Linked DNA regions of Oreochromis niloticus. Each later gene encodes a partner of the first gene's protein in a complex. Links are inferred from orthologs where the notes say so. Each region holds a gene or a part of one and is shown in the gene's direction. Other genes may lie near its edges.

Region 1 (7,012 bases):
ATACACAAACGCAGATTAAAGCTTCAACATGATCCTCAAACACCACCATCATCTCTGAGATCTGGACTGAGACAGAGTGGAGAACTGGTCTGTGTACAGACAACCCTCTATGGAAAACATGGAGAACAGGTCTTGTCTAAAGAGGAGAGGGACCATTCTGCATCTTTGATGGTACGGCGGTGCATCATTGTCTATTGAATTGGCAGCTTGCACAACTGGAATGGCACCAACAATGCTGAAACATATTTACAGGTTTTAGAACAACATATGCTCCCACCAGGATGGGAAGGCCTATAATATTTCAGCAAGACAACGCTAAACTGCATCTATTAGAACAGCATAAAATCTCTGTGTTTCTATTGTGAATAAATTATGGGTTTATGAGATTCGCAAATCATCCTGCAAATGTGCAAAATTACATTTAACTAAGTTTACATTTCTGGCAATGTGCAAATTGGTCAGGATAATAAGCACTGTAAAGGTGGAATTGCAATATGTTGTATGTGTGCAAAACCATTGATTTTACTGTAAATTACATTTATTTGTGGACATTTTTAGCTGCGTGTTTCTCTTTGTAGAATTTTAGTGGCAGTAAATCCCAAAAACAAAACATACACAACTAGAATAAGGTATTCCAAATTTAGTGAGTTGGTTAAGCAGGATCATGTCAGCCACAGGCATCCATAGCCACACAATGTTGCCAAATGGGCACATATTTGATATTCTGATCTATTCTGTAAAAAAAAAAAAAGCCATATCTTTAACAGGCAGCATTTCTTTACTTAGACATGTTTCTTTTTACAATATTCTGATTTTCCTAAAGTGTTGCTTTGACCTGAATGCTAACTTTAACATCCAAACAGGCTTAGAATGCTAACATGTTGATGTTTTGAAGGTTTTTCCATCCATGTTAGCATGCTAACATTTTTTGTACTAAGCACAAAATTCAACTATTGATCAAAAATAATATGAATAAGAAAAATGTGTTGTGGTTTGTACATGGTTGCTTTTGCACTGCCTGCACACATTCAGTGAAGACAGAGGAGCCTGAATATAAAATTTAATTGCATCAAACAATGCCTTGTGAATACCCTTTTTTTTCAGGTTTATAATTAAAAAGCTTGATGCCTAAAATTCTTCATGAGTGAGCTGAACGTACTAGTGCTGCAAATAGTTATTGAAATGTCAAAGATTTGTCATAATTGCTGCTACAGCAACCTGTTTGAAGAGAGCTTTCCCATTATCAGACTTGTTTCTTCACCTGCTGCTGCTTCTGGCCCTTTCCGAAGCCACCCAGTGAAAGTGAAACATTGAAACATGAAAGGGAGTCTCACCTCCCTGGAATAAAAACAAGGAGATGGATCTTTAATTAAAGGTGAGAGCTAATACTATTCAGAACAAGGAGGTTCTTGCTGAATGAGGAGCAGACAGGAGGTAAGGGGAATGCTGCACAGGGAGGGGGGGGGAGTTGTTGGGCATGTATCTCGGCAGTGTCTCCCTCCCTCTGAGTCCCAGCACTCCCTCCTTGCAGATTCCAGCGTTAAGTTAATTGGACAGGGAGAGGAGAGGGCTGAGGAGGGAAGCGTTCAGCCCCATTAGCAATCCCCCTGTGGAAGGCTGAGCCGAGAGGATCACAGACTCACAAATAGGAGGATTAAAATAATCAATAGGCTTCACTCTCTCTCCTTCAGCACAGGCAGCCCTGTGTACAACGCTCACACACACAAACACGCACCATTACAAAGATATGCACACACATGCACGCACGCACACGCTCCTGAGCAAATACAAACACACCAAGAGTCTGAGGAATACTAGTTCAAGGAGCACTACTCTGCCCAGTGGTGTCTGTGGACTTTCACAAATTAGTCTGGGTCAGGCAACATGCACACACATACACACACACACACACACACACACACACACACACACACCTATTCTCTGTTAATGAAGGTTAATTCAGCCTCTGACTAAACGAGGGCCAGTTTAAAGGTCAGGAACATGAAAACAGTCTGACATATCTATATTTTGCTCCGTTATTTCTGAACTTTAATGGCTGCTGAATTTGCTCTCACATAAAAGACTTTTGTATACATATATATATATATATACATATACATACTGAATATGCTGTATAATTAAAAGTCTTGTATCCATACAACATTAAACTTGTGACATGTGTGCAATTTTTAGTTCTTTTACTGCAGCAATTTAACTGAACACATATTTACATATGTAGTTTTGATTTAAAACAAGTACTTTATAAGAAGAAATAAAAGGTGACCAGAGGAAAATATCAAAGTGTTCAACATAATAGGGAATAGCAGAAAAAAATATCTACTCTGGCACTTAGCTGAACCAAATCTGGAATCTAATTTGAACTTTCAAATTCTGATAATGCTCACCACCTTTTCCCCACATGACCTTTTTAAATGAAGCACTGCACAGTTGAGACTCCTCATGCGGTACATACAAAATACTGCTCAGTTTTATCACACAGTAAGTTTATATAAGATTGTCCATTTGAGTAGTTTATGGAGGATTGAAAGAAAAAACTTAAAGTCCTACTAAACACACAAAGGCAAAAAAAAAGGACAACAAACAGACAACGTTTAATCATTTAATTTTTATGAATAGATAATTGAAAATCCTTTGAGAGGTCTTAACCCCCAAGTTAAGATAAAACCTCCAAACACATTTCCTGTAGTTATCGCCAGGCTGAGGAGGGGAATTGATTTAATTTGTCCACAATCACATAACAATACATGATATGCATCATTTCTTTAGGGACTATTAAAGTATTCTGATTCTGATGACACTGAAAACTAGAGGTTAAATAGAGACTGGACACCTGCTGGGACACTCTAAGTCTCTCAGTGTAAGTGCTTCCATGATTTAAGTTAAAACCATTGACTTAGTGCATAAAACACATATCCGAATCATGTCAATTACCATCAAATAGCAGGATTTACTACTTTTTGTCGCACTGGATCAGAAACTGTCGTTTTCCATTTTTATTTTTCACAGTTCAATAAAAGATAAAAAAACAAACACTACTTGCCTGCCTTCTTTCTTGAGTGTCTCGTGAGCACTCTTACTGACATCCTGTTGCAGGAGGTCATTTAATTGCTAAGGAGGTCAATCGCTGCCATTTCATTTTTTTCCCCCACACACATTTACAGGTAAGTGCTTTATTTTAGACTCACCATGTAGCCCATTCAGGGCACTGGCATAATCAGCCTCCTTATCACTTCTAGAGTGGATGCATATGGTGAATTTTACAAACAGGCACAGGCATCAAACTAACTATTAATACTGGTTATTAAATAATATTTTTATTAATACTCTGCAAGCTCCTGTACATTTTACACACGCCTGAGGATTTGTTCATTAGTGTGTTCCGCATTTGTTGAGCTTCTACAGATTTTACTCACACAGAAAAAAACATAGACTGCCGTCAGTATAACTTAAAGCTCTGCTGAAGTTTGCTTTTGATGACCTAACGATCCACCTGACTCTATTATGTAAGACTCTCTTCAAATACTGACAGCCGAATTGAGAAATTATCCGATACCGGACATGATTTTTTAAAAACTCATCTTATTAATTGGTCTCAATTTAATTGCTTACTGGTTGAGGAAAGTATGATAAAATCAAGAATAGGGTAAAAATGATTACTTTAATTTTTAAACATAGAAAGTAGGGAAGTTAACGAGCTCTCGCTGTCAGTTTTAGTCTACTTTTTTCTCCATTTTACTAAATTACTCTTTTTTTTTTCAAATAAAACAGCAGTTAGTTACCAGCAAACCAGATCAGCATTAAACCACTGATACATCTATCTATCTATCTATCTATCTATCTATCTGTGCGTGTGTTCGCTGAGAGGTTAGCATAAACATTTTTATAATCGTATTGTTGGAGGACAAAAACATTATCTACACCGCTGCGCCCCCTGTTGTACTTTGGTTGTCACTACAGTCCAAGGCTGCAGTTTCGCGCTGTGGTCGCTGGGCGGCAGGCAACTTCGACTAGTTGTCTGCAGGCAAAGATGGCGGTGCGGAAGAAAGACGGCGGCCCGAATGTAAAATATTTCGAAGCGTCTGATACCGTTTCTCAGTTTGATAATGTCCGCGTCTGGCTGGGAAAGAATTACAAAAAGGTACCGACCGCATGTTTTGCTATCCTACAGCGAGACCTTCCATTTTTCACGTTGAAATATGGCCACTTACCTATTGGGCAGAGGCAGTGACAAAGAGAGGAGGGAGGGTGCTGCTGAGCGTCCAGCTGTTTGATTCACTCGAGCCGGGATACAAAAGGATGCTGAGCCAACAGCTGCATCAGATGCAGCCACTAACGGCAGCTTCTCTGAGCACTGTTGTAGTTAAACCGATCTAAAACAAGCACACAGTCTGACCTCAGAGGATGGATTTTTGTTGAAGGGTGACTTTAGCCGGCCAGCCCGCTAGCTAGCTAGTAAGCTAATGGGCTAACGGTGAGGCAGCTCGGATCCAGATGTTGGCTCTGTGGCGCGCCGCGCTGACTGAAGCAATGTCCGGTGTTGAATAACACTGAGGACTGTGCTGGTGTTTAAACACAATAAACAAATAAAAAAAAATCATTTTTTACTAAACAGTGATAAAAATGAAAGGTTAGCGATATTTGTGACTCCATCCCCTCCCCATTTACCAATCCGTGTCGCAGTTTTCACTGAAATTTCCTTCCTTTGAGGTATCTGATAAAGGCATCCAGCAGCACAGTTGAGTTTATATTCATGTGTTTGCGCACAGTACATCCAGGCCGAGCCCCCCACCAACAAGTCTCTGTCCAGCCTGGTGGTCCAGCTGCTCCAGTTCCAGGAGGAGGTGTTCGGTCGACATGTCAGTAACCCTCCGCTTACCAAGCTGCCGGTACGTGTCTTAAGCATCTGTATATCTGTTACATGCAAAAATAGATACCTCATTTAAACCGCTGTGATTCTGAATGTGTTGAGTTGTATCCCTGCAGATGAAATGCTTCTTGGACTTTAAGTCAGGAGGGGCTCTCTGCCACATCCTGGCTGCAGCCTACAAGTTCAAAAGTGACCAAGGATGGTAAGACTTTCTTTCTAGCTGAGTTTAGGCGTCTGGGCTAGTGGCTGTTAAGTTACGGTGCTCAGTTGGATATTGGCTATGTTGCCGTTTCGTGTGTAACTCCAGTCTAAACTCCTGGTAGGCGCAGGTTTGACTTCCAGAATCCGTCGAGGATGGACCGAAATGTGGAGATGTTCATGACGATTGAGAAGTCCTTAGTGCAGGTGAGATTTGCAGAAGTGCTTTTATGGTTGTCAATGGACACTAGAAAATTTCAGGCCATATTTTGGTTCATTTATCTAACAGGAGTAAATTTTTGATGGTTTTTCCTACTGCAGGCATTAAATTTAAATGATAGCAAAGAGAACACCGTGTCCTGTGGTTACGCTAAATTTCTCAAGAGTCTGGGAATCACGCTGCCTGAGCATTACACACAGAAGTACTGAAAGACATCCAGTCACATGACCACAGAAATCCTACTTAATCAGTCCTGCAGTTTTCCAAGATCATTTAGATTTCTTCATCTGCTGTGGCATGCTGATTTCTACTTTTAATCAAGTTCATAGGACAAGTACTGGGCAATTAATATTCCAAAGAGGGCACATGAGAAACTGGGACTGTTATGGAAGACTGCATGAATAAGCTTATAGCAAAACTAATATTGGGCAGAACTGAGTTTCGATTATTGTATTGTTTTGTGAGTCTTCTTGATTATTTGAATCAATGCTCGCAAATGTAGTTATGTAAGTGATGTATCTGCTCCAATTCTTCCAGAACAACTGTCTGACTAGGCCCGTCATCTACCTGAGTCCTGACATAGAGCCAAAGCTGCTGGGGAAACTGAAAGACATCATCAAAAGACATCAGGTGTGTTTTAAAGGAGCCTTTCAGGCAGATCATTTACTACAGACAGATTTAATTTACATTCAAATGGTTCTACTCATGTTTTCTTGTATTGCAGGGCTCAGTAACCGAAGACAAGGCCTCCAGCTCCCACGTTGTTGTGCCTATTCCTGCCAGTCTGGAGGAAGGTGAGGTTTTGTCTCGGTAGGCATTGTTACAAGTTTTACTGCACGAGTCAGATTTGCGCTAACATCGTCTGATCTTCTTGGTCCAGAGGAGTGGGTTCGTCCTGTGATGAAGAGAGACAAGCAAGTGCTGCTTCACTGGGGATACTTTCCTGACAGGTTTGTTCTGAGCACCGTGCAGCTCACTTTTATCTACTTCTCTTATTTTCTCAATACATCTTTGGTTTTTAGAAGGTTAAGCTGACATTACCCCTCCTGCTGTGGTGTTACATGGCCAAACGTGCTTTTCCCACCTAATGCGAGTTTCGACCTCATTCCTTTCACTGTTTAGTTATGATACCTGGATCGCAGCCAGTGAAATTGAGGCTGCGGTAGAAGATCCTCCCTCCCCAGAAAAGCCCAGGAAGGTATTTGTTGTTGCTTTTTTCTGTCTGTGTCAGTCTGTATGAATTTAAACAGCAGATTTTCTAATACTCCCTGAGTTAAAACAAGTATTTGACCCCTTTATTAATGCTACATGACACTTGCAGTATTTAAATTCAAGGATCTTTTTTTTTATTTGTCCACTGTGCAGCACTTAAATGTTACAGATACATCTGTATGTTTTTGGAAACCTTTTTGATTTCAGCTTGAATTTAAATTTGTTCTTGTTCTTTATAAAGTCTTTAATAACAGAGGTTAATATCATGAGTTTCAGTCTTTTATTATAACTTTTATTATAACTTTATTATAACTCAGTTTAGCTCTTCCTCCTTCCACCTCCTCCTCCACCATCCTGGTGGTTGACATGATTGCTGAAAATATTTCACTTCTGGGCAGATAATAATTGGTTTATTTATTAATTATTTATTTACAGGTCCATGCAAAGTGGATTTTAGATCTGGACCAGTATAACGAGTGGATGAACGAGGAGGA
Region 2 (7,361 bases), about 15 Mb from region 1:
CTCTGTTCAAGAGTGAAAATTCAAACAAACATGACTGCGGGTTCAACTTTTTCAGCTACGTTTGTTTATTTTTTAGAGACTTTGTAGTCAAGCCTAGTGATTACCACCATATGCGTCACTCTTTTTACCCTTTATTCATTTGTAATCTTATATTTAACACTCAATAGGTCAAGTATAAAGACCCCTCACTCATGATAAAAAGGATATGGATAGATTTGTATCTTTGTATCTCTACACCTGAACAAGGTGTAAACTGGCACACATTGATGTATTTTTAATCTCTTAAACCCTGTAAAATAAAGGCCTTTTTATATAGACTTATCTAACCTACCTGAATTTCTGGTCTTGGATTTTTTAGGCCATTTTTGGCAACATTACTCAGAACATCTTTATTGATCCCCATATTAAGAGCAGTGGGAAGTCACAGAGGGCCAATAGCATTGGTGAAGGGCACAATTCTGAGAGATTTCATTTATTTTTCATGGTAGGAAATATCTGACCTCAGAACATACAAACTCAAAGCACAAGGCTTTTATCCTAGGCTCAAACCCAGCCACTCTTACTCATTTGTGCCTGATGTATTTAGTCCACAAAAAAAGACATTGAAAAACATTTGAAAAAAAATGAATAGTTTCCTAAGAAATATCTTAAAATTACATCCCTTTTTCTCCCACATTAAAGGCATGATGTGATGTGTCATATTTTTCTTTTCTGCCTATCCCAAGATGTTTCCTGCTTCACCCAAAGGCCCACTGTCATTACACTGCTTCAGAGCCAACAACACTTGAGTCAACTACTCTGAGGGCAGACTTGGGAGGCCCAGTGGTGAAGGACACTATTGCTGTCTTGTCCTTGAATATTTTAAGATTAATAATCCATACTGATTTATTTCTAGGCCAGTTATGATGTCAATAATTCATTACTGGTACCAAAACAGTTTTAGATTTTTCATTAATTATTCTACACAAAAAAGGAAAGCATCAGAGGCTGAGGTACTTCAAATGTTTCATTTTTTGCATCAGTCATTTAATGAAATCGGTAGGATGATGGACAAAAGCATAAAGAGCCATCTTCAACTACAAGAAGAACCATGAGTCCTGCCTTTCACAGCAGTATCAGCTTGATATGGCTTGAGACCACCAAAGAACAGCAGCAAGTTCTCCAAGATCATAGAAAAGCATTTTGAAAGTCCTTTTAAAGGACAGGGATGGTCACACTAAATACTTCTCTCATTGCAGTCTGCTGCACTTTGCATGATGAATGATGACGTTAACTGATAAATAAAAACTACTTCCTTCATTATTTTGAAAGCATCCAGCATTTCCTTTTAATGGCTACGACTCAGTCATGGCGGTATATTCCTTCCAAATGTCTCTCTACGAGGGCCTCGCATGCTGTTTTGTTTGGTTTTAATCCATTTTGCAGTCCCTGGCAGACAGATTGACTGGATGGCATACCAAACAAGACAGAGTTAACCTTTGTTTAACTTTTACAAACCCAGACAGAGTTGTTTGTTTTGGTTTACTGCACATTGCATCCATAGATCTGGTTTTTAGTCACCAGTCAGCCTGGAGAGATATCAGACGCTGAATATAATTAAGTTTATTCATTTGGTTAGAGGGACAATGAATTTTAATTACAGTTCTGAAAAAAGAGAGATAAGCAAAAGGCTAATTTTCATAGTCACTGAGCCCGTATTGCCAATAATTTATCAAAGATTGAAAGAAGAAAATGCAATCAGATTATGATAAAAGGTGCCAATGCTCCACTGTTAATTTAGTTAATTAACAGTTTCATTATCTTCATTTCATTTTCATTTCAAGATTACTTGTCAGATACTGACTTATGCTATTTTTTCTTGTGTTTCATACTTCATGTTAGCACTTGTTTAATTAAAGAATAAAATGAAGGAGCAACACACAAACACAATAATGTTTCTGGATTTAGTTTTATTTCATTTATAACCTTCCTTAATTTAAGAAAGGCTGTGATTTCCCTTCATGTTCAGTGAAATTAAGTTAAAGTAATTACTTTTAAACAAGTGCCAAAGTACTAAATTGAGGTACACAAGGTTTATCTTTACAAGCACCTATATTTATCTGTCATATTTCGGTACTTAATAATTACACAATTTCATATGCACTTTAATTTAGAGCAAAAAAACTTTAAAGGTGTCACTTTGGACTCGAGATAATTACGGTGAAAGAAAAATAGAGCCAAATTACAGAGCCAGAGGCAGACAGGTACAGTTCTGTGAAAAAGAACATTTTTCACAGGACTCTATGCACTCCTGTGAAAAATGAGTACACGCTTAATGCTTCCATTAAAATTATATTAGCAGCCAGGAATTAAAAAGGTAAGTGGCAGCCAGGTATTGATAATCAACAAATCATCACCAAATGTGAGAACCTCTATAAAAGCAGACGTTTTGGCAGGTTGCTGGTCTGGAGCATTTAGGTCTGTGTTTACACTATCCCACAATCTTCCCAGGACTGGATATCCCAGCAAAGTCACCCAAAGACCACATCATGCAGTGGTAAGAAAAACTTCAAAGAACGCAAAAACATGAGATACTTATTAAACTCAACAGATATTTCCTACTTCATGGCAGTATAACTAGATATAGACTGAAAAACTATGGCTTGGTTGGAAGGACTGGAAGGAGATAGTCTCTTCTCTCTAAAAACATAGCAGCACGGTTTAGGATTGCAAACTTGCAGCTGAGCAAGCCTCATGACTTCTGGAGCAATGTCCATTAGACAGACAAGTTCAAAGTGGAGCTGTCTGGCCATAATACACAACACTGCGTTTGGCGAAAACCAAACACAGGATATCAGCTCACACACCTCACATCAACCGTCAAAGCACAAGCTTACAGACCTTGGAGTTACTGAGTCGACCATGAACCAAAGTGTTTTAGAGCCAGATGTGAGGTCATCTGTTCAACACCTGAAGTTTGGTTGAAATCGGATCGTCCAAAATGACAATTATACCAAGCTCACCAACAAATCTACAATGGCTGAAAAAGAAAAGACTCAAGGTGCTGCAATGGGCTAGTCGAAGTTTAGACATCCAACTGAAATGCCTGCAAGCCTAAATGAACTTAAGCAGAATTCTAAAGAGATAAGAATATTAAAGACAAGTGGGACAAGTTTCCTCCACAACAACATGAGAGACTGATAAAATCATAAAGAAAACAATTACTTTAAGCTATTGATGCAAAAGGATCTAAAAGCTATCAAGTCACAGGATGCATTTAGTTTTTACAGGTCTGTATTTAGACCAGTAAAAACTTTTACTTTTACATGACTGTAAAACAAACTTGCAGCTTAGTAAGGTCAGTACCAAAGCAAAACACAAGGAAGGCTAACAAGATAAAGACAAAAAGGTCAGTCAAAAATCTAGGTTAACTTGCTGAGGTCAAAAAAACAGGCAGAGTGCACATAGACAGTCCAAGGCATGGATGAACAGGTAAGTGGAGACCTGGGGAAGATTAGGTGATGCTTCTTCTTGAAACTTTTTGCATTCCCTCTTTCACTACATCCATGAATGTTCTCTGTGGTCTTCCTCTCTTCCCTCTGCCTGGTAGCTCCATCTTTAACATTATTTGTCCAATGTAACCACTATCCTTCCTCTGCATATGACAGCTTTGCCTCTCTAACTTTGTCTCAATCTGAGCTGTACCTCCTAAATACTTATTTTTAAACTTGTCCATCCTGGTGACTGCAACAGTCTCCATACCATTCATCATCTCAGATCTCAATACCATTTTAAAAGCTTTCCCATTCGCTCTTGCTGCTATCCTTCTGTCACGAATCACCCTGATACTTGTCTCCACACACTCCATCCTGGCTACACTCTCGTCTTCACCTTTTTTGTTCACTGCCCATGGCTTTGGGGATGATGTTAAATTTATTAATTAAAAATGAATTACCACATTACCTAACTAAAATATCCATTAATTGTAGTCCAGTAGCATATTGTAGCAAAAAAAACGTATCCATCTACAACAGTAATATCCTGGTCAATCCTGCTTTTTAAGTAATTATACTCTAACAGATGTAACATAAAACAAATATTTTGCGTAATAGCACAACTGAAGTGAGTACTCTTAATACCTTAAGTACATGTTCATGATTATAGTTAGAAACTTTTACATAACTAGTATTTTTTAAAGAACTTATATGGAGTAATGGAGTATATTTACAGTACTTTTGTAACGTTGAACGAGGACCTATTCCGCCGTCATCGTCACCAGGTCTAATTTTGCTGTAGTACCACCAACAAACAGGGGAGGGCGTCTTGAACCTGTGACGTCCATCCCAACACTCGTTCTCGCTCTCGCGGTAGCTCCGCGCCTACACCGGCAGCGACATTCAGAGAGGAGATGGCGGCCAGAGGGGGGTTTCAGTCGGCACCGACGGGTGGTGGTGGAGCAATGGGACCTGGACCACCGGTACCGGGTGCAGGACCAGGCATGGGACCAGGAACACCTTCTGGAAGAATGGGACCATCGGCTGCCGCGCAGAACCACATGTACCGCTCACCGATGCCCGGGCCTGGGTACCCGGTAAGATATCGCTCTATCTTTGCTGCTGACGCGTTAGCGAGTCCGCTAGAACAAAGCCTCGCTCCGCTTGCTTTGTCCCTAGTGGCTAGCATTAACCCCCTTCACCACCGTAGGCCACAGCTCATACTAACTAGCAGCCCGGTTCAAAACTGGTGATGCATTTGAAATATTTCACCAGTCGCTGTGGATGACCATCAGAGTTTGTTTGTTGTTTGAATTTGCTAACCCTCCCGCCTGCTAACATTAAGGTTAGCTAGCTAATCGCAGCATCCAGTTAGCTTAGCCTGCTAACCCCGCTAACTGTTAACTGTATTTCGGCCAGTTTTCTTATCAAAAAGACCCAAAATGTGCACCGTGTAGTTTGTAAACATAACAATTAAACCATCCTTTAAGTTTTAGAAGTTGTAGTTTGTGAAGTTCAGGCTCGGTTCGAACTCAGAAGTTGTTATAAGTCGAGCCTACTTTTGAATGAATCGGCTGCATCAATATGAGTTTGTGTCAATGCAAATTTACAACCTACCTACAGAAACACTGATTAAGGAGAGGTGCCAGTCAGTAGCAGACTTCACTCTTTGTTTAGCTGGTGCAGTTTGTCTCGTCGAAGTTGGTGTTTTACAACTTGTAAAGTCTAACATCAGTGTGTCTATGTTTAGTGAGCTCACTGTTACTTGGCTGGTCTGCCGCAAAGTACACCAAGTACCAAGAAACGCTGGGATCTCAGCGTGAACTCACTACGCATCTAAACTGCTGGAAGGATGTTTAGTTAATTTTGAGTCTTATAAGCTGATATTTTCTGATCTTCAAATCAGATTACAGCGGTTAGTCCATTGGTCACAATTAATAATAATAATAATCACATGATTAATCTACAGTCGTTTCTCACATTTGAAATATAAAATAATTTACACAATCTATTAACATTTACACAGTGCAGAATTGATTTGAAAACACATTAACATTGTCCACCAGCAGCATTGGTAAACTAATCTTATTTGCCAGTATACCATCAACAAACTGGATATACAGTAACTGGTCGGTTGGTTGTTTGTCAGTCTCAGAAAGGGGAAAGTTGCCTCACAAACATTTGTCCAAATAGTCGAAAATTTACTTACGGACCTGCAGGTGATACACACATATTAAACACAATTTAACAGTAGTCTATGATCCCCTAAATTGCAGAGATACTCAGAGTAATTATGCAGTAAAATAGATAGAAAAACAGATGTCCAAAGGAGACAATTTCTACAAATTGTCACAATGAATACACAATAAAACCATGGTGCGTTCACCCTCAGCCACTAGTTATCTTGTTTGTTTTTTTAAGATTTGTGCTGTTTCAAGATATTGTGATAATATTTTGATTTATAGCACTTTTACATAGGTGGGTCCTCATACTCATTTGATTATATTAGTTAGGAAACTTGATGTTTTGGTCTCAGGTAGAAGAAAAAAACATAATTTTGAGTTTTAGTGATTTCCTGTCAGATTAAACATTTCCAGAATCCCATCCACATTCGCTGTGTTGCTCGTGTTTGGTCTAAAGTAGATGTTTCAGGCTCTGGTTGCCTTGGTAATACTGTAATTTATTTACCAACCTGTCTTATGTCAGTCAGCGGTATCAATGACGGCAGCTTGGAAAACGTCCTTCACTTTGTTTGCACTATTAAATGTTGCTGCTTGCAAGCTAAAGTCACCAATACAACGTTGTTTTTTCCCCTGTATCGCTGTAAATATAATCACAATTTTCCCTCAAATATTGTGATATAACTTTGAGGCTAATATCACCGACTCTGACTGTAATGGGAGAAGAATGAATATGGGGAACTGTGAAGGTGAACGCAAAGTGCACCTTCACAGTTGCCTGACTCTGAACCACGAAATAGTCTGATATAGACCAACTGTTTCAACTCTGGACGGTGATGTTGATTAGGTTGCCGAATATTTTTGTATGTCGAGGGTGGAAATCCCTGGAATATAATTTTTAAAAACCTCCCTTTAATACATATAGAGATGCACAGCTCACAGATGCACAGAAAATAAAAGAAAAAAAGTTTAAGCAGGTAAAATGACATCAGCTCATTTTCTATCTTGAAATCCCACACTATATTAATATGGAGATACTGATCATTTCAGAAGTTTAACTGCAAGGTAGAAGATGCTGCCAATTTCTCCTTCTAGTTCTTATGTAACAGAATCAAGGTCCACGATGACTGCTGAGATTTAAAGGTGAGCTCCCTTTGGCTGAAGAAACTGAAATCTTTCATTTGCTTTCACATCCTGCAACACATCGTTCTGCACAGTGGGGACTCAAGAAAATGACCAAGAAGCAAACATTTTCAGTAAATCAGGACTTCAGACTCTAAATGTTTTCAAATGAATGGACTTTAAAGCTGATTGTGTGCTCCAGCGATATACTGCGTGCATGCTCCATTACTATATTTGATCAGAACTCTTTGGTTTCTTGGTCTTATTATCCCATGCATGCTCTTGCATTCATATTTAGTATCAGAGTATAAATTTTCATATCCTGATCTGTAGTCCTGGGTTTATTCCCCCGATATTGCATTGGATTGAGTCATCTCCAGCTAATATGTTATGTCTTAAGATAAGAGAATTGTATTAAAATCAAGATATAAACGATGAGTCATTTATCACTGATCCACAGCTGAAGTGTTTGCTTCTTAGCTACTACCAACCTGAAAGACAGCTCAGTAAATGGTTGTCACATATTTTTTCTCTTCCAACGTCCTTGGCAGCCTTTCACATCATAGTCAAAAGAGGCTTCATACTC

The links. Proteins that work in one complex are often made in the same cells at the same time.
Region 2: smarcc2 (region 1) and smarcd1 share a complex: the UniProt entries of both Homo sapiens proteins name them as parts of the BAF complex. The link is inferred for Oreochromis niloticus from reciprocal best matches to the Homo sapiens genes SMARCC2 and SMARCD1.

The regions. Positions count from the first base shown.
Region 1 is NC_031970.2:23,534,649-23,541,660, reverse strand, and holds the start of smarcc2 (SWI/SNF complex subunit SMARCC2), read left to right. Parts: upstream 1-4,006; 5' UTR 4,007-4,048; coding exon 4,049-4,159; intron 4,160-4,787; coding exon 4,788-4,907; intron 4,908-5,004; coding exon 5,005-5,090; intron 5,091-5,211; coding exon 5,212-5,293; intron 5,294-5,843; coding exon 5,844-5,936; intron 5,937-6,030; coding exon 6,031-6,100; intron 6,101-6,186; coding exon 6,187-6,256; intron 6,257-6,428; coding exon 6,429-6,504; intron 6,505-6,953; coding exon 6,954-7,012. UniProt on the Homo sapiens protein: Involved in transcriptional activation and repression of select genes by chromatin remodeling (alteration of DNA-nucleosome topology).
Region 2 is NC_031970.2:8,062,101-8,069,461, forward strand, and holds the start of smarcd1 (SWI/SNF-related matrix-associated actin-dependent regulator of chromatin subfamily D member 1), read left to right. Parts: upstream 1-4,334; 5' UTR 4,335-4,387; coding exon 4,388-4,570; intron 4,571-7,361. UniProt on the Homo sapiens protein: Involved in transcriptional activation and repression of select genes by chromatin remodeling (alteration of DNA-nucleosome topology).